Cricetulus griseus: one gene and its partners. The protein of the gene in region 1 purifies or fractionates together with the protein of each later gene. This does not show direct contact. Links are inferred from orthologs where the notes say so. Each region holds a gene or a part of one and is shown on either strand. Other genes may lie near its edges.

Region 1 (10,598 bases):
ACTGGCAGTGTGGTTACCAAAGGGATACCTTGGTGAGCAAAAGTGGCTGAGAGAGGGAGCACTGCTCTCCGCCATTCCCTGGAAGACTGGGGGGTGGCATTATGGGGCGATGGAGAAAAGCCAGAGGGTGTGTTCTGTGTTGGAGTGAGCATCAGCATGGTATCCTCAGTCCGTCCTCTCCCTTTGCTTGTCTCATGTTTGGCTTTGGTTTCTATTGACTAATGACTTGCATTTCTCATTCCTTGACTTGGACTGCCTCCCATGAGACAGGCGCCCCTCACCCTGCAGGTGAAGTGTAAGTCAGTTCAAAGCTCCCATCTGATGTCCCTGGCTCCTGGCTGAGTGCTTGGGGATCTGGGGAGTGGGAAAGGAATCCTACCGAATGCTAGGTGAATGGATGGATGGGTGGAGGTGGGTAGGAGGGGTGTGGATGGATGGATAGAACAAGAATCAAGGGTGCGGAGGAAATGGATGAGTGTAAAAGAACATGGAAGAGAGGTGGGTGGAGACGAACAGCCTGAGGGCTCCTTGTTGATGTCCCTGTCAAGATTGGGGACAGAGTCTGCAAGCCCCTGCAGGGAGAAATGAGCTCCCATATGTATCTTGGGTCTAGTGAATTCATTATCACCGCCTTCAATACTGAGACCTCACTCACCACCAATCTTGTACACGTCCTGCAGTGGGAGGCGAAGGGGCTTGTCAGTGGGGCGGGTTGGGGGCAGGATTGTGTCCAGGGCTTCTAGCAGGGACACGCCACTTGCATTTCCTTCCTTGCGCTCTACTTTCCAGCCCTTGAACCATGGCATCTGGGCAGGAAAAAAAAAGGTGCCAATTATAGGGCAACCCACCTGACCACACCCTCAACCTCAGATCTCTGAGATTCTGGGGGTGGCACCTGCCTAAAGGATAGCCAGGGGAAGGAGACTCACTGTTCAAGCTGAATAGCTTGCTCCTCATCCCTTTCTCACATTCCCAACCTCATAGGGACCCTGAATAAACATAACTTAGAAAAGAGGGAAGGGGCAAAAAGCAAAACAAACAAAAAATACCTCCCCAGTCTATACTGTCATGTCCCAAACACTGGCAAATGAGACCCCTCACACCTCTCCAGACTGTATTGCCATGTCCCCAACACTGGCAAATGAGACCCCTCAACTGGGCCTGATTCCCTAATCCCTCAGGGACCTGGTCAGTCACAGCCCTAGACAGGTCAAGTACCAGGGGATTAGGGACTCAAGCCTAGCCAATGGCCATTTCAAAGATAAACTCCAGCCTCTGCCCCAACCCCAGAAGCTCTGCTGGCTACTAAGCTGTCTCCAAGATCAGTGTCTACCACCACCACCACCAAAAGGGCTTCTCTGGGGGATGACTTCAAACCCTCCTGACCTGTACAGACAAGAAGTAAATCCACCCAGGGGGCTGTGTGTCCTCCTGCCTTTGTCTTTATGACAAGGTCTCGGGCACCTCAGGCCAACAGATGGCTCTTAAAGTATGGGTGAACAGAGCCCCAGAGCACAATAGAGCAGTAGGAAGCAGGGAGGACTCTGCTGGTCAAAGGTCCCCAGGGGATTCTAAGGTCCTGATAATCATACACCAGCAAGAGCAAGATGCAGTATCCCCTGCCTGCCAAACTCTGTCCCCATGCCACCAGGCACTGGTCCCCTAGCTATCTCAAGAGAGCCTATATCCTCATACCATTTCATTCATTATGGGCATCTGAAAAGCTGGCTGAGTGTCCACCTCTCTAAGACAGGGGTCTCCTCTGGGTAGACCAAGATCTAGGTCCCAGGCTCTCTCTCTGAAAATTTTCTCCTCTACACCCAAAACCCAGAGACCCAGAGCAGCAGAAGCTTCAAGCTTCCAGAGGACCCACCAAAAGACATTCTTCCACTCCCCAGGCCAGCCCAGGGACATGCATGCTTCCCAGATACCACCCACTTCAGACCTCAGGGGAGGCCTTGTGGCCTTGTTGGTCCTGCACAGTATCCAAGGCCAGGACAGCAGCTTGGGAGAAATAAAAACTGATTTCCCCCAATAGTGAGATCCAGGGCCCAAGAGACTGTGGCCAGAGAAGGAGCCACATCTCCCTCTTTTGGCCTCATGGGGAGGCTGAGCTAGAAGACCCCAAGTGCAGGTCTTTTACTAGGAAGTGTCCCCAGGAGGCTGGTACTCATCACTATAGAAAGCCAACTGAACCAAAGGAAGCTCGGCCCAGCCTGACTTAGAGTCCTGGAGCCCTGGGCTCTTGGAAGGTTAGTATTGCCCCACTACACCTATCTTCACTCACATTGGGTGAGGGCTCCAGCATGTTGTCCCCATGCCAGCCTGAGATGGGCACAAAGGGCACTGTGGCTGGGTTGTAGCCAATCTTCTTGATGTAGGCGCTGACCTCCTTGACAATCTCATCATAGCGCTTCTCACTGTAGGCTGGTTCCGTGGAGTCCATCTTGTTAACACCCACAATGAGCTGCTTTACGCCCAGAGTATAGGCCAGGAGGGCATGTTCCCGGGTTTGCCCGTTCTTGGAGATGCCCGCCTCAAACTCACCCACACCCGCTGCCACGATCAGCACCGCACAGTCCGCCTAGCCAACAGATCAGAGACAGTGAGCCCCCTGGCCCCACCTTTTACCTAGCCCTACCACCCACAAAATAGGACCTGGGCAGTTATCCTGGGGATGGAGACTCAGGATCTCCTCCTCTAGGGTAGCAGGGGACTCCTTCACTAGGCCCTGAGTTAAGAAGGCCCGAAACTGACCATCAGCTCCAACACCAGCAGGCTATGTGCCCTTGGATGAGTCATTGGCTTCTGGTTCTGTCTTGTCTGCCTGTGATTGTCTTGTCTGACTGATTTTCTATCCACATCTCACTATCCCTAATGTGGCCTCTTCTACAAGAATCTGTCTGTGAAGGACATGCCTACAATTTCCCCTCTGTCTGACTGCTGGCCCCAACCATGGCTGGGTAACCCTGCAGGCACCCCATCTAGCTGAGATATAAACACTGACTCAGTTCTTGAGGGACTCTGTGCCAAGCAGGATGAAGGTGACCTGGGTGGAGCTCTGTCCTGACAGAAAGTACAAGAGACACTGACACCTCAGGAGAGCTCTTGGGCTCGGTACCCTCCCTGCACACCTGAGATGTGCCAGTGATCATGTTCTTGATGAAGTCCCGGTGGCCTGGGGCATCAATGATGGTAATGTAGTACTTGGTGGTCTCGAACTTCCAGAGGGAGATGTCGATGGTGATGCCACGCTCCCTCTCTGCCTTCAGCTTGTCCAGCACCCAGGCATATTTAAAGGACCCCTTCCCCATCTGAAAGAGTAGGGATGCAACTCAGGATAGGACACAGGACTCAGGGGTCACAGCCACCTGCCAGGCCTGCCCTGGGCCATGGAAACAGCCATGAGAGGTTAGGGTTAGGCTAAAGCACCTTGAACCAAAGACCTCTGTACTGTCTCTCTGATGCTGACACCCAAACCCTGCTCTGCCACAAAATGAAGCCACCCAGATCAATCAGCCCCACCCCCACTCCCCTCCTAAGTGGTTATGGACACACCCAGAAGGGGGCATGAGGGTCTGAACATTGCCAGACCTCATTAACCTCTCATCCCTGGCAAAGGGTTCCTCACTATCTGAGGCTAAGACTCCACACCCTAGTCAGTTATAGGTCAATTATCTCATTGGGTTTGGGACTATTGAAAAAAAAAACCTCTGAGTTATTTCAAAAACATGAAATTTTAAAAAAACAAATAAATTGGTCAAGGTTTTGAGAAAAGTCTAGCTTTTCAGCTCTTTCTGTAGCTGATGAGTACTTCTAAAAAGCTCTCCCTCCCCCCTTACACCAAAATAGGAGAAGAAAGAACACCCCCACTCAAAGCAAGGCTGGCTGCTCTCTGCCAACTTGTGCCTGGGTGAGACTGCTACAGCCTGGACCACAACTGTGGTCATTGCTCAGCTGAACACAACTCCTGACCAGAATCTCACAGGACAGGCTTCTGCATTCCAGGGATGCTGCCCAGCCTGGAGGAGCTGGTCCAGACAAAACCCAGCTGGGACCTGACCCAGGTGACCTTCAATCCCTGATCTCCCTGCTACCACCTCCTCTGGGAATACCCCCTAAAGGTGTCCCCAGACACACAGAGTTGTGGCTCAAAACCCACATATACACTGGAGCAGGAGTTCAACACAGAGAGTTGCTGCCCTCAGGTCTGACCTTAGCCCTTTTCCAGGAACCAGTTCTTCCGGGGGCAGGAAAGAGAATCCAGTTACAACCACTGCCCACTCGTAGGTCTCAACCAGGAACAGGCTACCAAGACCCCCCACTCCAGGCACCATCCTGAAGCAACAACCTTCCCCAGCTTATCTGGAGAGAGTGGAGCTGGCAAGACTGCTGCCCATCAATCAGCTATTAATAGCATCCTTGAGCCCTGGCTGTTGCAAGACAAGTGAGGGCAACACCACATCCAACATAGCTTTAGCCCTGGGGAACGAGAGGATAAGGCTTGAGGGCCCTCTGGCCTACTGAGGCCAAGAGTCCAGAGCCCTCTGGTGGACCTGGGCGGGATACACATTCTCCCTCCCTCAGTCTGAAGCAGATCTTGCAACATTCTCAGAGGGAGGCTGCCCTACTTACCCCCACCCCCAGACATCCTTTGCACTGAAGGTATAAACCAAGCAATGAAAGCATTGGGCCCATGGTGCTCACCTCTGCTGCCTCCTTCTCAAACTTCTCGATGGTCCTTTTGTCGATGCCCCCGCATTTGTAAATGAGATGGCCTGTTGTGGTGGACTTGCCTGAGTCCACATGGCCAATGACCACAATGTTGATGTGTGTCTTCTCCTTGACCATTCTGCCTGGTTGAAGGAGGGGCTGGCACTGTGGGGGCTCTGGCTCTGGGTTGAGGGTGTGCTGGGCAGGAACTCTGTGGGGCCAGTGACAAGGGAGATAGGTGATTTTGAGGCCCAGAGAGAGCCCAACAGAGACACCCACACTATTCTTGTTGTTTGAGAGCTTGTCCTCACCCAGTCACCTGAGGTTGGATGAGGAAGAATGGTTGCCCCTCACCCTGATCCTAGCCCAGGCCAGCCAGGTTGCACTCATAAGCCACCTGTTCCTCTACCTTAGCCCAAATGGTTCCTTGGAGTACAAATATTTGGAGAGTTGATTTGGAAGAAAGTTCCTTAAGAAAGGGTTAATCTGGTCTGGACATCACAGAGCAGCAGGCTGAGTGATCCTCTGGAGCAGCCAGGAGCCCTGTGATGAGTCACTGTGCCCAGCTCTCCAGTGCCTCGTCCTCCCTGTCCTCGATGCCGCTACCCCCCCCCCACACACACACACACAAACACACATAGCCCAGGGAGGGACACTGCCCTACCCCCATCTGCTGCCACCATGAAGAAAAGGCCAGCACTCCTCAGCCCCTCCACAGGCAAGGGCGCCATCTTCCCCTCTCTGCCCACAGGCTGGCAGGGGAGACAGCTGGATGGTGCCCAGGCATAGGCCCAGAATAGCTCAGGCCCTCCCCATACTCAAGCAGGGGGCAGCCATCAGGGCTGAGAGGTGAGTGTCCTGTTCTAGCCAGAGGAATAAAAATCTCTCCCTGCCCCAGCTCAGCAAGTGCCCTCAGAAATGCCCTCACCCTTGCCCCTACCATCTGGTACAGGCCCTGGGTCTCAGTACCCACGCATCACAGAGGTCAACGGAGAAGCTCAGGAGGGGGGGCGGGGGGGGCGACAATCCTAGGGTGGGATCCATGTAGGGCGGGGTAGGGGTCCTCAGGTTTCACCACCTCCCCCGCCCCTCTCTGACAAATCACTAACATCCCCAGAGCCCCTAACCACACCAGCACCTGCACCAACCAGCCTGTCCAGCCCCGCAGCGCCCAGGAGAGCCCCAAGGTCACAGTGACAGCGTGATCGCAGGTTTCAGGAGAAGACCCCCTCCCCACAGTCCCCGCCACTGTCACCAAGTAAACAATCGCCTAGGGGGACACACCGCCAGACTGCCACGGGGACCCACCATGCCCGGTGTGCAACCGAGAGACCCCCAACCCAGGGGTGTAGCTCAGCTAGGTGCCGCGTGTCCTCTCTACCTTGGGTTGGGTTCCCAGGGAAACGAACCTTCAGTGGAAACCTAAGCAAGAGTCGCAGACCGGGATGTGCGTCCTTACCCAGAGCCGAGGTCTCAGTCAGAGGGACTGGCGGCGGCGGCGGCGGCGGTTTTATCTCTCCAGGAGGGGGTCCACCTATTGACGGTGCCGGCGCAATGCACTGCGCCCCTGCAGTACAGCAATGCGGTACCGGCGGGGGGAGGCGGGCGCCGGGAGGCTGGCAGATGGGGTGCGAGTGATGCGCGGACGCAGGGGCCGCGCACCCACGGGCGCGGGCCGGCGGCGTAACGAGGATCCGAGAGGACGCAGCTGCAAAGATGCGCCAGAGCAAGCTGGAGAATCAGCGAGCTAGAGCGCAGACCAGGAGAGAAAAACAGGCAAAAGGGCGGGGAGCACGCAGAGGTGGGGGCAGGGAAACAGAGCCAGGAAGGGAGGAGCAGAGAAGGAGAGAAGGGAAAGAAGCATCAGATAGAAGAGATGGGATAGCAGAGACAGGGGTTGCTGGAAAGCGGGGGCGGGGGGTGGGACACATTCAAAGTAAAAAAAAAAAAAAAATGTCTTCAGGAAGGTGGAACGCAAGACAGGGAACCAGCGAGTGGGGGAGGGGGGAAGAAGCTCAAGCCCACGTCAAGGTCCCTGCAAGTCCTGATGTGGCTGGGCATCCAGTGCTGGCCCGGTTTGTGATTGAGTCCCAGTGAACATGAAGTTCAGTTCCCAGAGGCTCTCCATGATGTGATCCCCCTGGTACAGTGAGTGCCCCATGCTTGTTCACATGGGCCCAACATGGAAGGCCCTTGAGGGCATCAGCAAGTCCAGCCCAGATACAACCTTGGCCTGAAACCCTGGAAAGTGGCTTTTTCTACCTATTCCCTTAGGTGTGTGTTTGGGGTGGAGGGGGGACTGCATGAAGCCCATTAGAGCTCAGGCACAGTCCTGATTGCATTCCTGCTCAGACTGTCTTAGCTAAGACCATCAAACATTTCCAAACAGAGTTCAGACCCAGCCCCCAGGGTCGAGCACCAGCCTCCTTCAGCCCCCATGGGTAGGAAATAGGGAGACTTTGAGGAGTCTAGGAAGATGAATGTAACCAAAATGGGCCTTAAGGGAGCTGTGCCCACCTCATCAGAGGCTTCTTCAGAGACCCCTATCTTGTCATCTCACCCAGACATTTTCAAGTGCTGTCACCGATCTTTGTCACTGCAGGGTATGGTAGGGCAGGTAGGAAGCAAAGGTTACTTGGGTATTTATGTTGAATGACAGCATGCCCTGTGCCTATCCTTGCCACACTGGTGTGGAATGGATCTAGACATAGAAGGCCCAGGTCAGGGCCCAGCACATCCTACTGAGAGAGTACCCACGAGGAGCCCCTGGAGATGGGTGCCCAGTAGGACAGGCAGCTAGCAAGTAGGTGAAGAAGGTATTAAGGTGAAATCTGAGGGTCTGTCTGGCAGAGGGCAGCCAGAGACCAGGCAGGCCTCTCAGATGACCCGGCACTTCCGAAGACTGCTGATACTGTCAACTGGGAGCCAGGAATTAAAAATAAATTCCTGGCAGGACATTAGCATTTACCCTGCCCACTTGCCCAGCTCTTCTCTCCACTAGGAGATCAGGCCTAGTTTGGGATTCAGGAGGCTGGGTGGGCTCAATTGAGAGGTTCAGAGTCCAGAATCCTTGGGAATAGCCCCCGGACCTTCAGCTTTGGAGTTTTCATCAGACTCCGCTTGCCTATATAGTCTTCCTCTGTGTACATCTGGGACACAAGGAGCCAGCAAGATCCAAGGTCAGGAACTTACCCACCTAGAGGACTGACCACTGATGGCAAGATGTCATATCTTTCCTGAAACACCTATACATTGACCTAGGGGAGGCAGGCCAAAACTACCTCCCTGTCATTTGCACATACTTTGCCTACCAGTGCAAGTCCCTGAAGCCTTTGCTGGCATGGAAGATCCTAGGGATATGCAGAAAAACAAATCTTCAAGAGGTAACAGTGCTGAACAATAACACACTAACCCCACTGAGCAGCCTTGCAGCCAAGAGTTCCAAGAGGCTACTAACCCACCAGCATTAAGCAATTGCCAGACAGTCAATAGCTCCAGCAACTGAGCTGCTATTGCCCCAATCTGCACTTATCCCCCAAGCTCAGTGCTGGGACTAAATCCCAAGGTGCTGGGATGGTGCTTCCTAGTAGGGGGCATTTAGGTCCTGAGGGCTCCAGCCTTATCCATGGATTAAATGCTACCATAAAAAGTGCCTATGGAGGGCTCTCCTGCCCTCCACTTTCCACTGTGAGGCCTGGTTGAGCCCCTTGCCAGAATTTTGGGCTTCTAGCCTCTTCAACTGCATAGTTAATAGTACTTAAATGACTAAGAAATCAGCAATACTACATAAAAGCAGGTCCTATAAATAGGCCTGGGGACCCAAAACCTATGAGGAAACTGGGCAAAGAAAAGCTAAGCCCAATGCCTGAGATAACACAGCAAGTAGGTGATTCAAAACATTAGAACCATAGACAGTATGGTTCAATCCAGGTCTCACCTGTGGCCTGCTTCTCAGTTACTGATCACAGTGACCCTGGGAAACTGCCAGAGGTGGGGCAGGGCAAGCAAGGAGAGGCTACAGAAAACCAGGATTCTTCCTAAGAGCAGTGTGGAAGGTAGGGTGCAGGCTCTGTCCCTCCTCGGCTCCTCCGGGAGCCCCCAGATGCCAACTTCAAGCTGTTTGGGGAGACAGCATCCCCCTCTTTGGCTGGTGGGGTTTTCATAAATGTTGGGAATGAAGGATCCAGCTAAAATTAACCATTATCAAGCTGCCAGCCCTGCAAATAAACCTGCCTCCCATTGGCTGGTGGTGATGTCACTGTCAGGTTAATAATAGCTGAGGTGCCCAGCTAACCACCTGTGTGGGTGCCTTCTGTGAGCCACGGCCAGGCCAGCCTCCTGGAGTCAATATCCAACAGATGTGTGTCACTTGGCCCAGGGTGGCTTATACAGTGCCTTAGGGACAGGGTGAGGGTCTGGGGACACCTTCTAGTCAGAGAGTTCCCAGGGAGTTCCACCTGGTTTGAGCTGCCAGATACCGTCTGCTCCTAAAGCACAGTCCTTGGGCATGGAGTCCTTCACTAGTCATCTACCTGAGCCTGAGTCCTGAGCAGTCCTCCCAGGAAACAAACTCCTCCCAAACAAACAAACCTCCCCCTGGAAGGTCAGCTTCCAGGCAGGTACCAGGAGACTGAGTTCCTGAGGCAGCACATGAACTGTCTCCATGGGGAGGGGAATATCTGGGCTCTGGGGCCACTCCTTGACAATTCAGCACCTTCCTGAGTTAGAGCAGCTGTGCAGCTGTCAGGTGAACTGCAGACCTGGAAAACAGCTGGATTTCAGGCTAGCCAGGACCCAAATATACTATCCTCCAAGGCATTGGGCCCATAAGGTCTGAGGCATCCTGAGTCTGTCAGGGAGCCCAGAGCCACAGGAAGCTGTTGCCATGGTGAGCAGCAGCTCAGCAGGCTGGAGGCTCCTCCTTCTTCCTCCAGGGAGCCCAGCCCTACATCATCCAAGGAACAGAGAGCTGCTCATCTCTGGAAACCAGTAAGAGTATGACAGATACTGTGGGACACAAGTCACATTCCACTGATGCCACACAGCAGACCAATTTCTGGGGTAAGGGCAGGGTACTACATCCAGAAACAGAAGGGAAGATCAGGAGAGTATTCAGACCACTGAGCTGGCATTCATTTTGTTAAGAGGAAAGAACATCAGCACAAGTCACTCTCCATAGCCAAGTCCAGCAGTAGCATGGAGGGAGTCCTGAGGGTGTGGTCAGGTCTTCTTGGAACTCACTGGAAGCAAAGCTCCCTTCAGTGTACCTATCTTTAGTTGGGGAAAGGGCACCATAGCACCTGTGTATTTGACTGCCCAGGCAACAGTACTCACAAGTGCCTGTATGAACCCCTTGAAAAGAATTGCCTTACAGTAGGCAAGGACCCTGAAGGGAACAGCCAACCTTAGGAGTAACCATGGTCTGCATGATCCAGGAGAAAGCCCTTGAAGGCCATCATCCAAGAGTCACACCTGGGGACAAAGGGACACAGAGTGGGTACAACATGGAGAGAGTACAGGCCTTAAAAAAAAAACAGAAAACCAAAGGTTTATTTGAAAGTATGTGTATGAGGGCATGTCTATACATGTAAGTGCAAATGAGATACTGAATCCCCTGGCACTGGAGTTACTGATAGCTGTGAGCTGCCCTGTGTTGCTGTTGAAAACGGTCCTCCTGAAGGGCAGTACATGTTCCTAACTACTGAACTATCTCTCTGGTCCCATGCAGATCCTTTTAAAAGAGCGTAAACAGACTTAGAATTGCAGTTTCCAGACAGTGAACACATCCTTGGAATCAACATCCAGATCGCCCCCTTGTGCCCCTCCTGGTAATTGCTGCCTCTCAGCAGCCACCCCCATCAGGACTCCTGACATAGATTCATTGG
Region 2 (10,698 bases), on another chromosome or scaffold:
GTAAGTATTAGGACAGAGGACTTGACCTATAGAGTGGATCATTTTAACTTAGCAATTACTGAGTCACAAATGAACTCTCAAAAGCTTTGAGAGCAGAATCAGGGAAACAGGGACATGGCCATCTTTGGTATAAACACAGCCCTTCGGAAAAATAAACCACGTCCTAATCATAAATTGAAGTACTTTTGTGTTTATGTTCTTTGTTCACCAAACTTTCTTCTTTAAGCTTTTTCCCACCTTTAAAATTTGCTTCAACAGATTTCCTTACTCTCCACCTACAAGGTCATCATGGAAATCTCAAAGGAAACGGTATTTGATGAGTATGAGAACTATTCCTATACCTTGGACTATTACTCCCCGGAGTCTGACTTGGAGGAGGACATGCACCTGGGAATTCTTCACTGGATATCCCTGATGTTATATGTCCTAGCATTTGTCCTGGGAATTCCAGGAAACGCCATTGTCATTTGGTTCATGGGCTTCAAGTGGAAGAAGACAGTCTCTACTCTTTGGTTCCTCAATCTGGCCATTGCAGATTTCATTTTTGTTCTCTTCCTGCCCCTGTATGTCTCCTATGTGGCGTTGAGTTTCCACTGGCCCTTTGGCCTGTGGCTGTGCAAGGCTAATTCTTTCATTGCCCTGCTGAACATGTTTTCTAGTGTTTTCTTCCTGACAGTGATCAGCCTAGACCACTATTTCCGTTTGATCCATCCTGTCTTGTCTCATCGGCACCGAACCCTAAAGAACTCACTGGTCGTTGCTGTATTTGTGTGGCTTTTGGCTTCTCTGCTTGGAGGTCCTAACCTGTACTTCCGGGACACTCTGGAGGTCAATAACCACATTATTTGTTATAACAATTTCCAGGACCCCGACCTCACCTTGATGAGACATCACGTTCTAACCTGGGTGAAGTTCCTTTTTGGCTACCTCTTCCCTTTGCTGACAATGAGCTTCTGCTACTTGTGTCTCATCTTCAAGGTGAAGAAGCGAAACATTCCAATGTCTAGTAAGCAGTTTTGGACAATCCTCTGTGTGGTCATTGCCTTCATGGTCTGCTGGACTCCTTATCACCTGTTTAGCATTTGGGAACTCACCATGTACCACAACAGCTCTTTCCAGCACGTGCTGCAGGGTGGACTCCCTCTCTCTACCGGCTTGGCATTCCTCAATAGCTGCTTGAACCCCATCCTTTACGTTCTAATTAGCAAGAAGTTCCAAACTCACTTCCGGGCCTCTACTGCTGAGATACTAAAGCATTCACTGTGGGAAGTCAGCTGCCATGGCACAGCCAGTGAACAGATCAGGAGCGCTGAAACCAAGAGCCTGTCTTCCCTAGAAACAGCCCAATTGAGTACCCTGTTCCCAGAAATCAGTGTGGAGTCGCCCTGTGAGCCTAATAACAAATCCTTTTAGATGAAGCTTCGTCCTGATCTAAATTGACTGACTATATTTTTGTTGTTTTTGTTCAGTGTATTGGCCTTATATTTTTGTATGCGTATAAAATGTAGGATTTCTTCCTTGCCATTTAAACGCTGCATATTTCTGGCTGCCCTCTGGTGGCGATTGTGGTACTGACAACCTATGACTTTCCTCCCACTGTTTTAGCCTCCGTCCATTGATGTACTGCAATGTATCTCTCAGATTAAATAAATCTTCTTTATAATGCATACCACATTACGTTAATCATCTTGGAAAAATATCAGGCTCATTTTTGTTTGCTTTTGGGTCGTTTTGTGCGTGTATGCATGTTCATATGTGTGCAGGTGCTCATGTGTGCAAACAGTGATAAATAAACCTAGATTGTTGCTCCTCACGAGCCTCCCACCTAATTTTTCTTGAGACAGGGTCTTTCACTTGCCCAGAGCTCACCAAGTAAGCTAAGATGGCTAGCCAGCAAGTCCCAGAGATCTGCCTGTCTCACCTCCCCAACACTGCGACTGAGTGCATGTCACCACCATGCCAGGCTTTTTGTGTGTTGCTCTTTAAGAACTAGGGCATCTCCCCAGCTCCCTAATCATCACCTTTTCAGTTACTAAGAAAGGAGAAAATTAACAAAAATCTTTGTCTGGGATAGAGTTTCACTATGTATCCTAGACTGACCTCAAGTTCCAATAAACAAATTGAATATATATATTGGGGGGGTTCGAGACAGGGTTTCTGTGTGGCTTTGGAGGCTGTCCTGGAACTAGCTCTTGTAGACTAGGCTGGTCTCGAACTCACACCTGCCTGTGTGACCCACCTGCCTGTGCATCCCAAATGCTGGGACTAAAGGAGTGCGCCACCACTGCCCAGCTGAATATACATATATTTTAACAGCATAATACATATATATTCAACTTTAATAATTTATAAATTAAGCTATCAATTGTTTATATTGGTTTAAAACTTCCATTCCTGTTAACTGTTTAATAAATTTCCCCAAAATCTAATTGTTTAAAGCAACAATTTCTTGTTGGTATAGTTAAATTCTGAGGTTCTGGAAAACCAACAAGACAGAGGGTGATTTGACTCTGCTTCCTATGTCTGTCTGGAGCCTCAGATGGGTAATAATGCAAGTGGCCTAGCCTGGAATAGTTGGGACGAGTTAATCAACTGTACTTGCTCTCACGTCTACACTTCTCAGTCCAAAAGCTGCAAGGGGCAAGTGCTCCACCACCGAACCTCATCCTCAGGCCTGTTAAAGGTTATGAATGTCACTCACAGCCTTGTTTCCACAATATCCAACTGGTCAAAGCAAGACTAGGCTGGCTCAGAATCAGAGGGGACAGACCTCTTGAAGCGTGTCTACAATTTTGTGTTCAGTTTTAGTTTTTTAGAACATCGTGGTTATGGAAAATTCCGGCTGTATACAAGTGTGTAGATTACTATAAACAATAGAAACACATTTCCCAGGTGATATAGAGGCTGGTCCGAACTCAGTACTTCAAAGAACATGCATCGCCAGCATAGTTCCATCTTTTGGTCTTTTGTTTACGTGGACACCAGTATAAGATGAATAAAATATACCTTTACGTCAGTGTTCTGCAGAATCCTCAAGCACTATGAATTTCCAGAAGAGCAAGTGCGCCCTCTGCCGACCCTCATGGTTCTGACATTGCCTTCCTCTGGCTCTCGTCGTTTAGACACTGCCCTCTGCTGGCCATTATGATCCTGAAAAAAATCTTCCCACTATTTCAGGCCGCATCTGTTGTCTTTTCCTCAGCGAATGTTTTATTAAATAAATCTTTACAGGAAGCTTCCCTCACTAGATTGATAGCAAGAGTACTGGCTGGTTGAGCGAAATAACCCTGGATTATTTATCCTTCTGAATTCTATCTACAAAATACAGCAAGCTTTAAAGACACAACATCCAAACTGTAAAAACAATAGTAACTACATTTGGTATTTAACATGAAGCCAAAATGGCTGATGTGTTCAATGGTGTACTTCCAGGGCAGTACAATCCCTAGCATCAGATCACACTTCTAACAATAGGCCCATCCTCTGTAGCTGAATGAATACGTGACATTTGTAAATGGACGTTATGACTCACCTCCTCTGGTACAGTGGCATAGAAAAGGGAAGGAGGGAGCTAGAGATTGCTCAGCAATTAGGAATATTTGACAACCTGGGCACCAACACCTACATAGTCGCTAACACCCATCTGTAACTCCAGTTCCAAGGGACCCAATAACCTTTTATGAATTCCCCAGGCAGGCATTCATGTGGCACATACATTAACACTGATGAAGAAAATACTTCTGTGACTGAGTGCTGTGCATGTCAAGGTCAGAGGAGCACTTTCCAAAGTCTGCATTCTACTTCCCACCCAGGTTCTAGGGACCGAACCCAAGCGGTAAATGTGTGTTATGAGTACCCTTACTGGCTGAACCATCTTACTGGCCAAAAGTCAATTTTTCAAAAAAGCAATCTTGAAGACGTCTGTTCACAATAGACCATATTCATCAGCACCATGTGTTGCTGCTGACAGCCACAGAATTTTATCAACAAAGGCTACAAAATTAACTATAATTGCTAAATGTTTAATAACACATCAGTTGTTTTTTTTTAATGTGTGTAGTCATATGGTATGTGAAAAACACATTGGCTAAAATACAACTTCTAGGAGTCAGTCCTCTTCCTTGTGGGTCCTGAGGGTTAAACTCTGGCTGGTCAATCAAGCATGGCCAAGTGGGCTTGACCTGGTGCTTTATCTGTCTTTCCAGCCAAGTTTTCATTACTTAGGAATTACATAGCCACTGAATCCTTTCCCCCAAATGAAGACACACACACCACCATTTCTCACAATAGAATGTAGAGTCAAGGGTTGTTTGAGATTTTATTCAAGTGCACTGACCAAGGATGGTTTTAAATTTTGTTAAAAGCAGCCACATCCATGGACTGCACGTAGTCCTCAAAGGCAGTAATCTGCTCCTCTAGCATATCTGTTCCAACTTTGTCATCTTCAACTACACACTGGATCTGAAGCTTTTTAATTCCATATCCCACCGGAACCAACTTGGCTAAAAAAAGAACAAGGGAAAAAAGTTAGGAAATTCTTATTGATGGGAAAACATTGAAAATGTACATGAATTTCAACTTCAAAACCCATCAGTAAACTTACAAGAGCCCCACACCAAGCCATCTGCTTGAATGCTTCTGACACACTCCTCTAATTTTGTCATGTCTGTCTCATCATCCCAAGGCTTCACATCTAGTAAGATGGAAGACTTGGCAACAACCGCAGGCTCTAAAAAAGATTAAGAAATGCATTATACTTAAGCACTCTACTAAACACCTTTACCGTAGGCCAAATCTCAACTTGTTTCAAAACAGACATCTTCTTGCTGAAAAAACATACAGAATTTACCTTGTGTCTGTCACGCATATTCCTCTTTCAATTTGGCTAAGAAAGAGGCATTAAATTGTGTAACAGTTTCTTTCCCACAGAGGAATGCTACAGCTGCTATCATATGAACAGTTGTAGACCAGTAGCTGTGGATGTTCCATAAGGAAAGATGTTTATTGAAGACTCTTAAAAATACCGACCCATTCAATGAAACTGGAAAAAAAACCACTTTAGGGTCAAGCTTTGGAAAAGACCACCACTCACATTATTATTTACCAATGAAGGTAAACAACTGTAAAATTACCTACTTTTAGCTTTCTTTGATTCATACTGTGCAAGGCGCTCTTCTCGGAGCCTCTTTGCTTCTTCGCTTTCCTGTATAGGAAACAAAAATTTCACAAAGTTGGTTATCTTCTGCTTAAACACAGTGACAGGGTCATTACAAAAAAAGAGACCAGATTTATCAGAAAAAAGCAAATCCATCAGGAGCTCAGCCGAAAGATGGTGATTTGATTTTATTCATCATATACCCAGTGATATCTTTTTAAAGGCAGATAACAAAGCAAAGCCAGGGGTCAACTCCAGGGAGTGACTACACAGCTATACTTATACTACACTTACGCTGCCTTATCAACATACTCTATATGAGGTCAGCCATACCTCCTCATCATCTGATCCGAAGAGATCAATGTCATCATCATCTTTAGCATCCGCAGTTCCACTTCCTGTGGTGTCTTCCACACTGGCAGGGCCATACTTGCCCAGAGATTTCTTCACTCCTGGCAGGCTTGAAAACAAACATTCTACCAATATTAGGTCGGGTGTCATATTCTTTTCTGGGCAAAACACACAACCTTTCTTTCCCAGTAACACTCAATCTCTTCTATTCTGGTTATTTATCCTTTAGCACAAACAATCCCAGGTAAAGATGTTATGTGTCTAGCTCTTCCTCCAACAAACATTAGTACCACGGGAGACATCATACTCAATACTCACTATGGTTTAACTCTTTCAGAATGAACATCTCTGTTTGGGATTTCATTAAGTATGCTCACTTCCATTCTTAGTTAACTGGAGTCCACTTCCCCAAACTCTCCACCCTTGCTTGCTGGTAGTTTCAGAAGAATGGCCAGGGACTGAATGAATGAGCTACCCTCTCACCCCAGCGATGGCCCCCCCAGGTCCAAGCATACTGGCAGAGAGGTGTGGGGTAAAGTTGAATTGCTGTTGTCCATGTTCTACCTGTTCCGTGAGAAAACGGAGGGCTTCAGTCTCTTGGCCTTTTAAGGTCACAAAGAAATTCAGCTTACCCAAGCCCAACAAAGCTAAGTAACTTAACCTAGGTCCTAGTTTACCATGTGAAAACCCAGGTGGCACCAAGACATTTTTTACCTGGCTTTCTCTTTCTCGTAAGACTTGATGTGGTTATACCAGCGCAGAGCATGACACAGGTCAGCGGGCGGAGGACCAGAGACGGCTTCAAAGACGGCCACATCTGCTTGCGATGGCACGTACCTGCCGGTGACACAAAAAACAAAGTGCACACACCTCTTAAAGAAAAGACACGAACACCAGCTAGTATAGGACAAGCTCTACACCCGTCAGACTAACTAGTGGGAACTACTGCAGGGCTAACAAGTTGCTTTAGTTGCTTTTAACTATAAAGTGCACCGAACACGTGTTCGAATCTCCACAAACCAACAGCATCTGCCACGTATCTGGACAGACCTCAAAAGCTACCATCTGCCATCGGGCCAGCCACCAAACCAGGTTTAGATTTCCTAACTCGGCGGAGACGCGGAAGAACTTGGTTGAACGCGGCCACGCGGCCACCAAGCCTGTTTCAATGATTCCGCTTGCAGCCCCTGCCGGGAGGTCCTGCTCCGGCAGCATCCGGGCCCCGGGAGACCCAGGCTCGGCTCCCACCCCCCCCTTCCTCCCGCCGAGCCCGCGCCACGTGGCCCCGGCCTCCAGACTCACCCCTCGATGTAGCTCTTGTCCGCCAGGTAATCATTGAGCACCTGGAGGCCCGCGGGGGTTTTCAGGTCTCCGAAACCCATGGCGTCGGTTGGATCCCGGAGGCCGGCAGCAGCAGGGAGGGAGAGGGAGAGACAGAGAGAGAGAGAGAGAGCGCCAGAAGCCCGCGGCCGGCGCTAAGGGAAAAAGGGCCCGGGCCGGCCGGAAAAGTCCTTATATAGAGACGGAGGCGTTTCCCTCCACTGCACCGGCTAGAGGTTAAAGGTCAAAGGACATTCCTAGTCTCGTCCCTCCACGTAAAGCCGGGACTTGGGAATCAAACGGCCCACAGGTTGTCCGCGGGCTTTTCCTTGGGACCGGAGAGAAATTAATAAAAGAGGCATTTTAAAAGGCCTACCTACAAGGATTCCGAAACTAAGGGAAACGCCCCCCGAAGAGCCGGAGTTGAGCGAAAGCGCTCGGCCTCAAGGCCTCAGCTACTTCCGGCGGAACTGCGGGTCCAAGTCGTCCCCTCCGCTTCCTCCCGACTCTCGCTCGGGTTGCCGGAAATTGCCGAACAAGTCCAAAGAGGGGGAAAAAAAAAAAAAAATTGTCGAGCCTGGGTTTTTCGTCCCTCTTGGCTCTCCGTCCTCCAGTTCCTGTGACGGAGTTAGCCGGGGCCGCCATATTGACTTAGCGGCCCGGTATTGAGGGGTCAGAGAGATCCGGACCAGTCCGCGGAGCAGCCTAGTGGGCTCCGGAGAAAAGGTGAGGGCGTGTTTAGGTGGGAAGGCTGAAGGGCTTCAAGCCGGGTTCCATTTCTTGGCAGCATTGTATCCTTTAGGTCAGAGAAGTCATTCCCCTCTTGTCCTTGACTGGGTACCGCCTCCCGCCCCGCCACCGCGGGAACCCGGGAGAACCGGCCGGTGAAGCAGAGGGAGGAAGAGGAGCAGACCTTTGGGAACTCGGGCTTGCGAGCTGCTTTCTCTGCAGGGGAAAGCAGGAGGTGGCCTTGACAGGAGACCGGCTCATGCCCCAGTGTCACGAAGGACTTAAACCTTAGGCATCATTGGTTAGTTGCTGTCTTGCAGCTGTCCACACTACTGTTTGTTTTTGTCTAGTTCATTGACCATGTTGGGTAGTAATTTATTTATTCTACTGACGGGGAAATCTCCCCACAACTTTTTAAAAGTTAGCCGGGGCTGGTTAGCTAAGCGGTTTTTCAAGTACCTTGCAGAGAGGATCCGAATTCGGTTCTCAGTGTCCAGTTCAGAAGACTCACAACTGCCTGTCACTGTGCCCTAGGAGGTTGCCACCCTCTTCTAGATTGTGAGCACCTGCACTTACATGAGCCCCACACAGACATGCACATGCACACATAAGTTTTAAAAAAAATGAATCTTAAAAAGTTTGCTCGGGGCCCAGCCGCAAATCAGGAAGCTGCAGTGTCTTCAAGGTCTTGAGATACAAAGTCAAACTGAATTGTAAACATTAGGTTTCGTTTTTCCTGGGGGGGGTTTCTTTTCTTTTCTTTCACTGAGTTTTGCATTAAATGGAGTGTTCTGAGCTAGAGCATCAGCAACTTTTAGAAAGTTGTTTGTCTAAGTCACAGCCAAGATATGGGCCAGGTGCGGTGGTGCTTGTCTATAATCCCGGCACTGGGGAGGCCGAGACAGAGGATTGAACCCAGGACTTTATGCTAGGTAAGGACTCTACTAACTGAACTACATCCCTAGCTTGAGTAGCTATTTTTGTTCCTGTTTGGAATACATTCCAGGGCTGGCAAGGTGCTTGCTGTCATGCCTGACAACCTGAGTTCAATTCCTAGAACCCACACGTGAAAGGAGAGAGCTGACTCCCAAAAGTTGTTCTTTGGCTTTCATCTGCACGAGCCCCACCGCAGTTAATGTATGCTAGCACACACAAAGTAAATAAATGAATGTAAAAAGCAGCAACAAGAAACATATACCAATCTGGATGTCGTGGTTCATGTTTATAATCCTGGTGCTTTTTGGGAAGTGGAGATCTGAAGTTTAGGAGTCCCAAGTTGATCCTTGTCTTCATAGCAAATTTGAGGTCATTCTGAGGTTTATGAGATCTGTCTCAAAAATCAAATACCACCAAAGCAAAACACCACAACAAAACAAACTGTATGCTGTATAAACCAGGTTATCCTCGAACTGTCTATGTAGGTTTTATATCATGTAGCTCAGGCTGACATCAAATGCTTCAAGTTCCCCAGTGCTGGGATTATGGCCATGGGCCACCACGCTGGCCCCATCAGTACTTTTTGCTAATGGAGTATGTACTGCTCATCCTGGAATTTGGTGACTTGTTTTTGTAAGGGTACTGTGCCAGAAAATGGGAATAGTCAGATTTCTTGTCAAGGAACTTAAAGTCTAGTAGCTACCAAAATTCTCCAGGAACTTAGTTTTGGGGGCTTGTTTGTTTATTTGTGTTTGGGATACAGCCCAGTGTAGGCTGAAGAAGTGGTCCTCCACTAAAGCTACATGCTTAGCCCAAGTTTAGTAAATAGAACAGTAAAATAAATGTATGGTGTGATGTTCGTAAAGAAAAGGACCACAAGCGAAGAGCACTTTACATCTGATTGTCAATGCCCATTGAAGTTGAAGTCAGTTTTTATTGCAATTTTTTCTTTGTTTTTATTATTGGTAATTACTGACCTTGGTATTGTAGATCTGCTTTCTAGATAAACAAACAATAACTGATTTACCAGAAATTATTTACAGACACCAGACTTGATGTCTTCAAATTCAGTATTGAAAATTGTAATTACTGTTATTAAGGAATTAAGTGAAATGAGTTGTAAATTAATGAATTTTTAATTATAGGTCATCTGTGATAACTATAGGCTTTAGAGTTTAGGATTCTATTTCATCTGGAATGGTAGTGCCTTTAATCTCTGCACTTAAGAGGCAAAGGCCTGTGGATGAATCTCTCTCTGTGGGATTCAGGCCAGCCTGGTCTCTGTATAGCCAAAAGCCACGTGTGGTAGCACATGCCAATAGGGTATGTTGAAGAGGTAGAGGCAGAAGGACATGAATTCAAGATTAGCTGGAGAGGTGGCTCAGTGGTTAAGAATCCTGGCTGTTCTTCTAGAGAACCTTGTTTGATTCCTAAAAACTATATGACTGGTTGTAATTCCAGTTCCAGGGGATCTGACACCCAGTCATGGCCTCTCTGGGCATCAAGCATGCACATAGTGAACAGACATACATACAGGTAAAATATAATACACTTACACTTAATTTTTTTAATTAAAAAAAAGAAAAAATTTTAGTTTTTGTACTATTTTCTATTACTTCTGCTACTGCTATTGAAACTTTTTTACTCATTTTTTAATGTTGATACTTTCTAATCACATAATTTTTTTCCTTTAAAAGGAAAAAACAAACACAACAAACTAGTCATCTTGTACATACATCCCTGTAATAACAGCAGTTTGGAGATAAAGGCAGGAGGATCAGGAGTTTAAGGTCAGCCTGAGCTACATGAGATCCCGTCACCAAAACTAAACAAAAACCAACTGACTAAACAAAACTTAAAAATTCCAAAAGAAAAATTATGATATTAGAGGCTGTGCTGCAGTTTTATGTCAACTTGATGCAAGCTGAAGTCATTTGAAAGGAGGGAAGAGCCTCAACTAAAAAAATGCTTCCACACCTGGAAGTGGTAGCACATACCATTAATCCCACCATGACTCAGGAGGCAGAGACAGGTAGATCTCTGAGTTTAAGGCCAGCCTGCTCTACAGAGTGAGTTCTAAAACAGCCAGGGCTACATACAGAAACCCTATCTCAAAAAACAAAAATAACAAAAAAAATAATTTATATTTTCTTTTCTGTATATGAATGTTTTGCCTTCATGTATGCATGTGCCCTGTGTATGCTGGT
Region 3 (10,598 bases), on another chromosome or scaffold:
CTCACCATTACTTCCTCAACTAGAGAGAAACAATTTTTTTTGTAGAGCACTGAACATATGTAGGTCATATGAAGACATCTGTACCATTTACACAAGCTATCTGAGCATGAGGACTATGGGACACGAAGTGACTCCCTACAGATACAGAGGACAACAGCTATGACAAAAAACACCTGTATACTGAGAGCTGTTCATGGCCCAGCATTATCAGCAGACCTTCTTCAGTGTTTAAGGTCTGGGAATACGATTCCTAAGAATTAGGTAGTAAGCAAGCCCATGCCACCACCCAGTCTGCTTCTCATCTTCCCCAGCTAGAAGAGCATCGTTGTGGGAAGCAAGGCAGGAAAGGCAAATTGAGGCCAGGCCTCTCTACTTCTGCTCTTCTGAACACTTCTGCCCTGCCACAGTGATGCCTCAGGCATAGGCAACAACTCTGAAGAAGCCACCACTCACAAAGGAGGCAGGACAGGAAAGGGTTCAATGTTCAGTTTCCTTTAATGACCCCCATCTCCCTTGCAGGGTAGGTGCAGGCAGCTAGGTGATGGCAAGACATGTTCACTTGAAGATCTTGCCTTGATTGAAGTTTTTGCCCACATGCTGGAAGGCCCCCTCCCAGGAAAAGTACTCTCGAACCAAGGTCTGGGTCTCCTCGCTACCAGGATCCAGTTTCCGCCATGTATACGACTCGTAGTCCACCTGCCAATCTGGACTCAGCTGGGGATAAAAAAAACAGAACAGAAGCATGTGGTTAGACACTGGACATTGCTCTGTATCTCTGCAACCTCTAGCTCAGACACCAGGACTCACAATGATGTGAACACACTTCCTATGTATAATCTACAACATTTCCCTCACACACAACACACTGGCCCAGACTCAAAACCCCCAGTTTCCTATACTCTTGCCCACTAAAAGAGACCACCCCCAGCACCTTCCTCACCGGAAAGGCAAGTTCTTGGCCTCGGAAGACCCAAACGCCAGAAATGGAGCTGCTATTGTTGGTTCCAAAGAGGATGACACTAGCAAAGGCATTCTTCCTCAGTTTGTCCAATCGCTGGAACATCCCTAAGGGAGAAAGAAGGGAGACTATTCAGCCTCTTGGAATCATGACGCCCCACCTTGACCTCCATCCACCAGACCCACCCCTCTTCTTACCAGTGATGAGGTTGCAACTCATGAAAGTCTGGGTGAGCTCTTCAGGGAAGCGGTACTCAGCATACCACAGGGACCAGCCATCCTTATCAAAGTGCTCCCAAAAATATGGCAGCGCCACAGACACTGTGTCCTCATTGGAGTACTTCCGCTTAAACTCATCCAACACGAAGGTACTAAAGAGAAAACACCAGGAGGCTAATAAGCAGGAAGCCATGCTACAACTGCAAAGTATCTCTAGGTCAATGGTGTTTTCACTTAAAATATACCAGTTTGAAAGAAGTGGTCCCTGTAATGCAATGTCAGACACTCACAGCATTAGGAGCAAAGATAGATAGAGGGACATGAACAAGAGCTAAGACATTTCTGGGCCTAAGAGTATTAGACATGCATGAGGAAGCCAGCAAGGTATGGAGGATACAGCTAGCTGCTGCCCCCAGGTGGTGGCTAAAAGCGAGGTAGTCTGTTTTTCTCAGTCTAGGCCCTCCTGGACATTCCCCAGGAACCACAAGTCAGTGCTCAAGTAAAACTCACCCACCACACAGGACTTCTCGGGTTACAGGCTGGAACCAGAATGCAAGCAGAAGATAGCCACCTCAAATCTTTATGCCCAGGTCCTCTAGTTCCTCTTTGCCCAATAACAATTTATATATTGAAAAGCTTATCAAAGAAAAGGTTACCAAAGTAACCTGACACTCAGGGTCAGATACCCAGATGCCAAGAAAGCTAACATAGGCACAGGAGGTATTACTTCCCCCATAGCTCAGGTTCTACTTTTCCCCCCCAATTGTATTTCTCAACCACTTTCAGTTCCATGGCATCTGACGCCCTCTCTGACCTCTTCTGGCATCAGGGAGGCATATACAAACATCAGGCAGGCACATACAAACATGCAGGCAAAGCACTCCTGCACAAAAATCTAAAGAAACTTGCCGGGCGTTGGTGGCGCACGCCTTTAATCCCAGCACTTGGGAGGCAGAGGCAGGCGGATCTCTGTGAGTTCGAGACCAGCCTGGTCTACAAGAGCTAGTTCCAGGACAGCTTCCAAAGCTACAGAGAAACCCTGTCTCGAAAAACCAGGAGAAAAAAAAAAAAGAAAAAAAAAATCTAAAGAAACTTAAATGGCGAGGCAGTAGTGGCATATACCTTTAATCCCAGCAGAGACAAGTATATCTATGAGTTTGAGACCAGACTGTCTACATAGTGAGTTCCAGGACAGCCAAGGCTACAAAGAGAAACCCTGTCTCAAACACCCCCTACCAAAGGCATAAATATTGCTTCAAGTTAGGGATGACCACTGCACCACTCTCAGGGAGTATGGGAGGCAGAGAAGCAGGAGAATCAAAAGTCCAATGTCATCCTCAGAAACGGCAAGTGCCAAGGCCCTAACTCAAAAGCTGTAGTCTAAGTTTTTCTCATTTTACAGACGAGTTTAAATGTTGAGCCTGGTCCAAGGTTATACTATATATAGCAAAGCCAGAAATCTGCCATTTAACCAAAGGTCCCAGACTGGTCTCCAAATGTCCACCAGACAACTCTTTTTAAGGGCCTGAAAACCTCAAAACCTCCCCTTTCCAACCAAAAGGTAGGACTGGAGACTTTCTCACACTCCATCTGTTTTTCCCCCAAATAACACAGACCAAGTATGGTCTGCATCTGTAATCTCAGCATAGGCATTTAACAGATCCTGCCTCAAAAAACTAGGATTAGTGGTATAGCTAGATGGCACAGCAAATGCCTAAGCATGGGTGAAGCCCCAAGTTCAATTCCCAGCACTCTTAAATATATGTATATGTGTGTATATAATAAACATAAGCTCCTAAAACTCACCTAGCTGGGAGATCTTAAAGGGATCAGAATGAAATCTTCAACAAATGACAGTTAAATCACTGCCTTCAATTTTATGCGATTAAAAAGCCTAAGGGTAAGGGGGCTCAGCAGTGGTGGCACATGACTTTTTTTAAGATTTATTTATTACGTATGCAGTATTCTGTCTCCATGCATGCCTGCTGGCCAGAAGAGAGTACCAGATCTCACTGTGGATGGTTGAGAGTCATCATGTGGTTGCCGGGAATTGAACTCAGCAACCAGTGCTTTTTACCGCTGAGCCATCTATCTCTCCAGCCTCCATGGTGCACGCCTTTAATCCCAGCACTCAGGAGGACAGAGGCAGGTGGATCTCTGAGAGTTCAATGACAGCCAGAGTTGTCCTAAGGGATGTGAGGTGTAATGGCTCATGTCAGCAATCCAGCACTTGGGACTGAGACCAACAAGGAGGACCAGAAGTTAAGATCACTCTTAGCTACAGTCTGAGACCAGCCTGCAATACATAAGAATCTGTCTAAAAACCGAGAACCACCCACCAACCAATAGCAAATAAAACAGTACCAAGGGGAAACACTTTTGGCATCCCAGAAAGGCATCGTGGTAATACAACAAATAGGCATTAAATTAACATCCTCAAAGGTACATAAGAGCCAAAGGCTCAGCAGGTAAAGATGCTTGCCTGATGACCTCACTTGATTCCCAAGAACCACATGGTAAAAGAGAACTGACTCCATCTCAATTGTCCTGACTTCCATACACATCAATGCATCACTCTATGGCTGGCAAGAGTGGGCCCACATGCACACACAAAATAAACTAATTTAAAAATACCTAAGGATGCCGGGCATTGGTGGTGCACGCCTTTAATCCCAGCACTCGGGAGGCAGAAGCAGGCGGATCTCTGTGAGTTCGAGGCCAGCCTGGTCTCCAGAGTGAGTGCCAGGACAGCCTCCAAAGCTACACAGAGAAAGCCTATCTCGAAAACCCCCCCCCCAAAAAAAAAAAAAAAAAAAACCTAAGGAGGAAGGAGAAACCTTTCCATTCATTGTTACTTATTTTCTGTCCATAATAAGGACCTACCACATGTGTCTATATTATAACAAAAGAATAGGTTTTTAACATAACAAAATTCTTCTCATTAGATCTATGCTTGTGCAAAACTCGGGTTAATCACTTGATTCAGAACTCATTGTATTCTGAGAGCAGGGTTGCAGATATACTCACAGGCAGAGCAAATTGTCTTAAATGAACCTGAGTTCCAGCCCCTTTCAGAAACACACACACACACACACACACACACACACACACACACACACACACCTACCTACCTAAAGAAGCACCTATTAGAGCTTAAGTTTTCTTGGTCTCATACCAAAAAACAAACAAACCAACCAACCAACAACTCCTACAAATTAAGGCTTTCAGCTGGAAGTCCCTGCCCTTTAGTATCCATGCCTCCAGAGCCAGTCATCACGGGAGTGCTTCTACAGGATAGTCACATTAAAACATCACAAAATGCAGGTAGGTCAAAACTGAACAAGGATGGCTATTCTTCAGTCAACTTTAATTCCAGCACTAGAGAAGCAGAGGCAGGTTCAAGGCCAGCCTGGTCTACAGTGAAAGTTCCAGGACAGCCAGAGCTGTCTCAAAAAAACAAATAACAAACAAAAACACCAGGACTTCCATACTGGTACATCCCAGGTGGAGGCAGGAAGATAAGTCAGAAATTCAAGGGCATCCTCTGCCCCACAGCCTCACAAACCAGCCTGGACTACAATGAGACCAGGACTATACTTACACCCATCACTATTTGCAGCAACTACCTCAAATTGCAGGCCTAGATGTATGTGAGAGGAACAAAGGCTAAGAACAGGTTAAGAACGCCTTCCAACACGCTTACCTCTTGGGCAGGTGAGCAAAGGGGTCCTTGGCCTTGGGCTCAGCAGCAAGTGCCTGCTCACACTCGTCCATCTCCTCCTCAGGAGCTGGGGCAGCTGCCTTTTTTTCTTCTTTCCGCTCAGCCTGGGGCTTCTGTTTCTCTTCTCGTGAACCCTTTTCTTTCCTTGGAGTTTCTTTTTTAGGCTGGCTCTCTGCAAACTTTTTAGCTGATAAAGGAGAGAGGGAAGTAAATATACTGCCTCTTTCCATTTTCCTCCAAACCAGGCAACAAATGGAAAGTGATGGCAAGGACAACCAAACAAGCCTCAAGGAGCATACACAAGTTATCACACTCTGCATTCCAGTGTGCCAGTAACTATTTGATAGATTATGTTCAGGGGTCACCAAAAGTCAAAGGCTGTTGACAGGAACAAACGGAACCCTGATCACATGCTGTCTCCAGACTTACCATCAAACTGGGCCATCTTCTCACACAGCTTCACCTCCCCCAAGACCGCCCTGAACTGGGGCTGGTTAATGCAGGTAAGGAACCATCGGTTGGTATTGGGGAAGGCCTGACGAAAAGAAGGCTCTAAGACCTGCCAGGATGGAAGGACAGAAACAAAGTCAACACTAGAAAGGCTATGAACAGATCTCCAACAAGAGCACAAGACCCTTACCCCCAGCTCCACTTTCCTCTCCATCCCCAACAGCAAAACTTTAAATCACTACATCTCCAAGAGGACTACTTACAAAGGGTCCTTTTTTGTGTTTTGGGTTTTTTGTTTTGTTTTGTTTTATCTTTTTCAAGGCAGGGTTTCTCTGTGTAGCTATGGCTGTCCTGGAACTCACTCTGTAGACCAGGCTGGCCCGAACTCAAAGAGATCCACCTGCCTCTGCCTCCCAAGTGCTAGGATTAGAGGTGTGCGCCGCCGCCGCCACCACCACCACCACCAGGCAAGTGCACTTTTTTTTTTAAGATTTTATTTATTATGTATACAACATTCTGCTTCCATGTATATCTGTACACCAGAGGAGTGCACCAGATCTCATAGTGGATGGTTGTGAGCCACCATGTGGTTGCTGGGAATTGAACTCAGGACCTCTGGAAGAGCAGTCAGTGCTCTTAACCTCTGAGCCATCTCTCCAGCCCCTTGTTGTCATACTCTTTTACACAAGAATTTCATGTCTATTATTCTTAATCTTTTAAATTTCATGTCAACAAAATTTTCTTAAGTTAGATTCAACAAGTCTGTAACAGAGTCTATGTAAGAGACTAAGGGCTTAGCTCAGTAGCACAATGTAACCCAGTATTCACAAGACACTGGGCTCCAACCTAGCATCCAAGGGGGTGATGCTAGGTGGGGGTGGCTACTAGACTTATTTTGCTAAACAAGCTGACCCCCAAAAAAGACATTTTGTGTGTGAAGCTGGGAATGGAACCTAGAGCATTGCCAGATAAACCATGTCACTGGGCCTCACTCTAGCTCCACACTGCAACTACAACCTGCACACTGATGACACAACCAAACCCAAGACACCAACCAAATAAGAGTGTAGTTCAGCAACCCAGTATGATCAGAACAGTCCTTCTTTTAACTCATTCACAGAAAAATTCACTATCCTCTTTTAAAAAATTTTAACATTTATTTCATTTTTACACAAGTGTTCTGTTTCCATGCATATCTGCGCACCGTGTGCAAGCCTGGTGCCCACTGAGACCAGAAGGTATTGTATTCCCCTTGAGCTGGAGTTAAAGAAAGTTATAAGCTGCTATGCGTGTACTGGGAATTGAACCTGAATCCTCTGCAGAGTGCTCTTAAATGCTGATCCATCTCTTCAGCCACACACTGTCTTAAATTCTTAATTTACCTTCCATTTTTATGTATATGGGTGTTTTGCCTGCACATATATCTGTACACCACATGCATTCTAGTGCTCACAGAAGCCTGAATTCAGAGGGCATCGCATCTCCTGGAAAGGGAGATACAGCTATTAGGGCATCATGGGGGTGCTGGGAGTACTCTGTAAGTGCAGCAAGTATTAACTGTTGGCCTATTTCTCCAGCCCCTGTCATTTTCAAGTTTGCCAAAAATAGGAGGGGGTGAGAGCTAAATCTGGTCATGGAGACAGATCACAGAAATCAGGAAGTTGGGAACTTCAAGTTCTGAATACTTGGGTTCAAGTTATACTTGAGTACTTACAAGCTGTGTGCTATAGGCACAGAAACATTATAATGAACCCCGTGAGGCATACGGTCAGAACAGTAGGAGCTTTTTTCTTTGTTCCTACTGTACTACAATTCTGAATCAAAATGGATCCCCAGCTATTGCTTGGAAATCAATACAACATTCTTTAAAACCCAACAACAAAACCAGTAACCTGAGGGGCTGGAGAAATGGCTCAGCAGCTAAGAGCACTGGCTGCTCTTCCAGAGGACCCAGGTTCATGGCAGCTCACAGCTGTCTGTATCTCTAGTTCCAGGGGATCTGACACCCTCACACAGGCATACATGCATATACACAGACAGACAGATGGCTGTTCTTCTAGATGGCCCTGGTTCAATTCCCAGCACTCACTTGGTAGCTCAAAACTCCTTAGGACCGGTACACATATGTACATACATACATGCTAATACACATAAATGAAACAATTTTAAATGTTTTAAAAAACATAGGAACCACACAGTGATTACTACCACCTTGAATTTAACACAGATAAAGTAAAATAAAATAAAGAACTGTGAGAATTCTTACATCCTTCTATCTGTACCAGTAAATAATGAAGCCAGGATAGGGACTTGGATCTGCCTCCAAAAGCCCTTGACGCTGCAGTGACCATCCTTACCTATCTTTAATTTATGATCTCGCTATACAGCCCAGGTTGGCCTCATACCAGAGTGATCCTCCTGCCTCAGTACCTTAAGTGCTGAGGTTACAAGTGTAAGCCACCACACCCAGCCTTACCCATCTTTAAATTAAACCCATTATTTTCAAGAAACTAAGCAACATCACCTAAAATGAAAACACCCACCGTACTCAATCCTGGGATTCCTACAGCCATTAACTGATGAGTCCTAAGTAGAACCCAGGGCACCCCAGCACCAGTCAATCTCCTGTCTAATGGGCTCTTTACAAACCTTACCTGCTTGTAGAGCCACAGAAGGGTGCAGACAACTGTGATATCAGCCAGGGTCACTCGCTCACCCACCAAAAAAGTCCTTGTCTTCAAATGAGTGTCCAGCAGCCCCAGGATTCGCTTCACCTCCTCTTTTGCATTTTCAGTGGCCTGTTGTTTTGAATATTCAAGTTTAGTGGGTACCAAGTCCCTTTCCATTTAATCAGCATTGGCTCAACCCCCAGCCTCTATCACTAGAATCTAGGATCACCTGAAAATGTATTAGAACTAAAACATGCATGTTCAGTCTCTTCAGAGTTGACATGACTATTTCCCACCATACTGACGGCGAGCACTTACGACTTTGCACTGCCACACATCACTGGCATCTTTCCCTCCAATATAGGAGTTGACCCCATCTCTGCCAAGTTCCAAAGCATACCTGTTTGTTGTGGTGCATGATGCCCAAGGTGGGGAACACCCAGGTACTGGCTGGAGGAACGATGTCACTGTCAGCAAAGCTCACCCACTGCACCACCTGAGCCGCTGCCTCTGGAGTACTTCCACGAAGGTCCTCATTGCTTACTGCAAAGGCACAACATAAAGCTTGGAACCTAAAGATCATGCCCAAACCAACCCAGGTCTCTATGATCCCACCCCGTCCACTGCCGTCACTCCCAGCCACTTCTACAGCCTCATCCCCAGAACCTCTCAATCCTGTGTCCCCACAAATTACCGTAATGGGCAATGGCATTGCTCTCAAACACACAGAATCCGTCGTCCCCCTCAAATGCTGGGACCTAGGGGCGAAGTAGTTAAGAGACAAAAGCAAAACACAGGGATTTCTCACTAGCCAATTCTTGGGATTGAACTGTCAAGAATGTTGAGACAACCCTTGCTATGCAAACTTGCAACATTATCTGAGACTCATATGAAAAATAATCAGTAACTCTCTCGTAATCTGAATCCAGTGCCTGGACTAAGAATTCAAACATGGCTGAAATGTGAAATTACGGCCTCATACCCTTATTCCCAGTCTGAATCTGAAATCAGCCAGGGCTAGTGTGACACCATCTCAAAATAAAGAATATTCTCAGGTATGGATGTCTTCAGACAGTCCTCCACCTACAACTCCGCTACCCAAGGCATTAGGTGCAACCCACACACAGCATTTGGCCGGGCAGTGGTGGCGCTCACCACTGGGGAGGCAGAGGCAGATGGATCTCTGTGAGTTCGAGGCCAGCCTGGTCTACCGAGTGAGTGCCAGGATAGTGTCCAAAGCTACACAGAGAAACCCTGTCTCAAAAAACAAACAAACAAACAACAACAACACACACACACACACACACACACACATATACAGCATTTGCCGTCCTCCATACTCAGCGTTGGATATTTATCTCTACTCAAGCACTCTGGGATATGAATCCAACTTGCAAGAAACCTAGTATGTATGTATTGGCCCAAATACATTTCATCCCACAAATCCAAAGCAGGTCTGTAACTCTGAGAGTCACCAAACTGCTCTGAATTTCCCTTTATAGAAAGGCTCATATTAGATTATATAAACTGACCTCACACAATCCTCCTGCCTCAGTCTCCAGAATGCTAGGATTACCAGAAGGCTTCAAAATGATTTTATTTTTCCTTCTGGGTGCTTGGACAGTCAAACTCAGGGCCTTTCATCCCTGGCCCCATGAAATCTTTAAAAAGTAACTTCAATGTTGAAGAATAGAATATGGAGGCCATGTCCAAAATAATAGAATTTTAGGGCTCTTTGGGGTCCCTGCTTCTCTACTCACCTTGCCAGCAGGAAACTTTCTGAGAAATTCAGGGGTGCGGTTGGTTTGGCCAAAGTGGAAGTGGGGTGGTGCGGAGAGCACGCGGACCTGAGCCCCGCTGTACTGAGCAGCGATGAGGGCCTTGAAGGCTCTCCAGTTTTCAGGATATGTGTACAGGGTCTGTGAGAGGAAGGGTGGAGAATGGACATGAGTACAAGAATCCTGAAAGCGACTCCCCACACTTTCAAAGCCTTTGATTCATCTCCACTCCTTCTGGTAAACCAAATTAACTGAGTATGCCCTATGTAATCAGAGTCCTCTGAAATAGCGAGAACAGAACTGCGTACCAGCTGCTAAATAAAGCTTGCTGACAGACGTGACCTCCCGTAAGGACATCACTAGCAGCATTCTTCCCTTCAGAACTTCGTGGTCCCACCAGTCTTCATCTGCCCAAATACACACACCCTTGCCTCCCAGAGCCCTTGTTTCATTCATTCGTGGTGACCCAGTGTATGGCCACAGCCAAGCTGGTAGCACCTCACAAGCACACACATCGACCAATGGATTTCAAAGTTCCCCTCAGAATGGCCACGTTGATTTCTAGCGGCATGCTCTGCTCATCAACTCCTCTTCCTAAAAAGTCTGTTTTTCCTCACCGAGCACTAACATCGCTCTGGTCCTGTCCTTCAGTGTTTCCAGTTGTCTCCCTACTAAAACCTGGCCAGAGGTGTCCAAATGGTCTGCCTTCAGTGTTCCTTGACTCCTCTGCTCCCAAACCTCCCCAAAAGACAACTCCTAACTGTGCCAGTCCCTCCTGCCCACAAAGACCCTCTCCTTTTTCAC

What was found.
Region 2: the proteins of Eef1a2 (region 1) and Eef1b2 purify together in Homo sapiens (co-immunoprecipitation; 4 studies listed by BioGRID and IntAct, counting the BioPlex papers as one, with this or other methods). This does not show direct contact. The link is inferred for Cricetulus griseus from reciprocal best matches to the Homo sapiens genes EEF1A2 and EEF1B2.
Region 3: the proteins of Eef1a2 (region 1) and Eef1g purify together in Homo sapiens (affinity purification with mass spectrometry; 4 studies listed by BioGRID and IntAct, counting the BioPlex papers as one, with this or other methods). This does not show direct contact. The link is inferred for Cricetulus griseus from reciprocal best matches to the Homo sapiens genes EEF1A2 and EEF1G.

What each region holds. Positions count from the first base shown.
Region 1 is NC_048599.1:735,648-746,245, reverse strand, and holds part of Eef1a2 (elongation factor 1-alpha 2), read right to left. Parts: intron 6,422-10,598; 5' UTR 6,173-6,421; intron 4,925-6,172; 5' UTR 4,852-4,924; coding exon 4,708-4,851; intron 3,315-4,707; coding exon 3,135-3,314; intron 2,585-3,134; coding exon 2,288-2,584; intron 807-2,287; coding exon 656-806; intron 1-655. UniProt on the Homo sapiens protein: Translation elongation factor that catalyzes the GTP-dependent binding of aminoacyl-tRNA (aa-tRNA) to the A-site of ribosomes during the elongation phase of protein synthesis.
Region 2 is NC_048595.1:417,278,522-417,289,219, reverse strand, and holds Eef1b2 (elongation factor 1-beta), read right to left. Parts: upstream 7,168-10,698; 5' UTR 6,889-7,167; coding exon 6,809-6,888; intron 6,344-6,808; coding exon 6,221-6,343; intron 5,616-6,220; coding exon 5,489-5,615; intron 5,363-5,488; exon of another isoform or gene 5,284-5,362; intron 5,204-5,283; coding exon 5,137-5,203; intron 4,983-5,136; exon of another isoform or gene 4,851-4,982; intron 4,730-4,850; coding exon 4,604-4,729; intron 4,503-4,603; coding exon 4,348-4,502; 3' UTR 4,295-4,347; downstream 1-4,294. Other genes in the region: Gpr1 (G-protein coupled receptor 1), read left to right, coding at 289-1,413. UniProt on the Homo sapiens protein: Catalytic subunit of the guanine nucleotide exchange factor (GEF) (eEF1B subcomplex) of the eukaryotic elongation factor 1 complex (eEF1).
Region 3 is NC_048596.1:51,122,175-51,132,772, forward strand, and holds the end of Eef1g (elongation factor 1-gamma), read right to left. Parts: intron 9,936-10,598; coding exon 9,777-9,935; intron 8,775-9,776; coding exon 8,711-8,774; intron 8,560-8,710; coding exon 8,417-8,559; intron 8,146-8,416; coding exon 8,002-8,145; intron 5,457-8,001; coding exon 5,327-5,456; intron 5,085-5,326; coding exon 4,880-5,084; intron 1,329-4,879; coding exon 1,156-1,328; intron 1,066-1,155; coding exon 941-1,065; intron 715-940; coding exon 556-714; 3' UTR 477-555; downstream 1-476. UniProt on the Homo sapiens protein: Probably plays a role in anchoring the complex to other cellular components.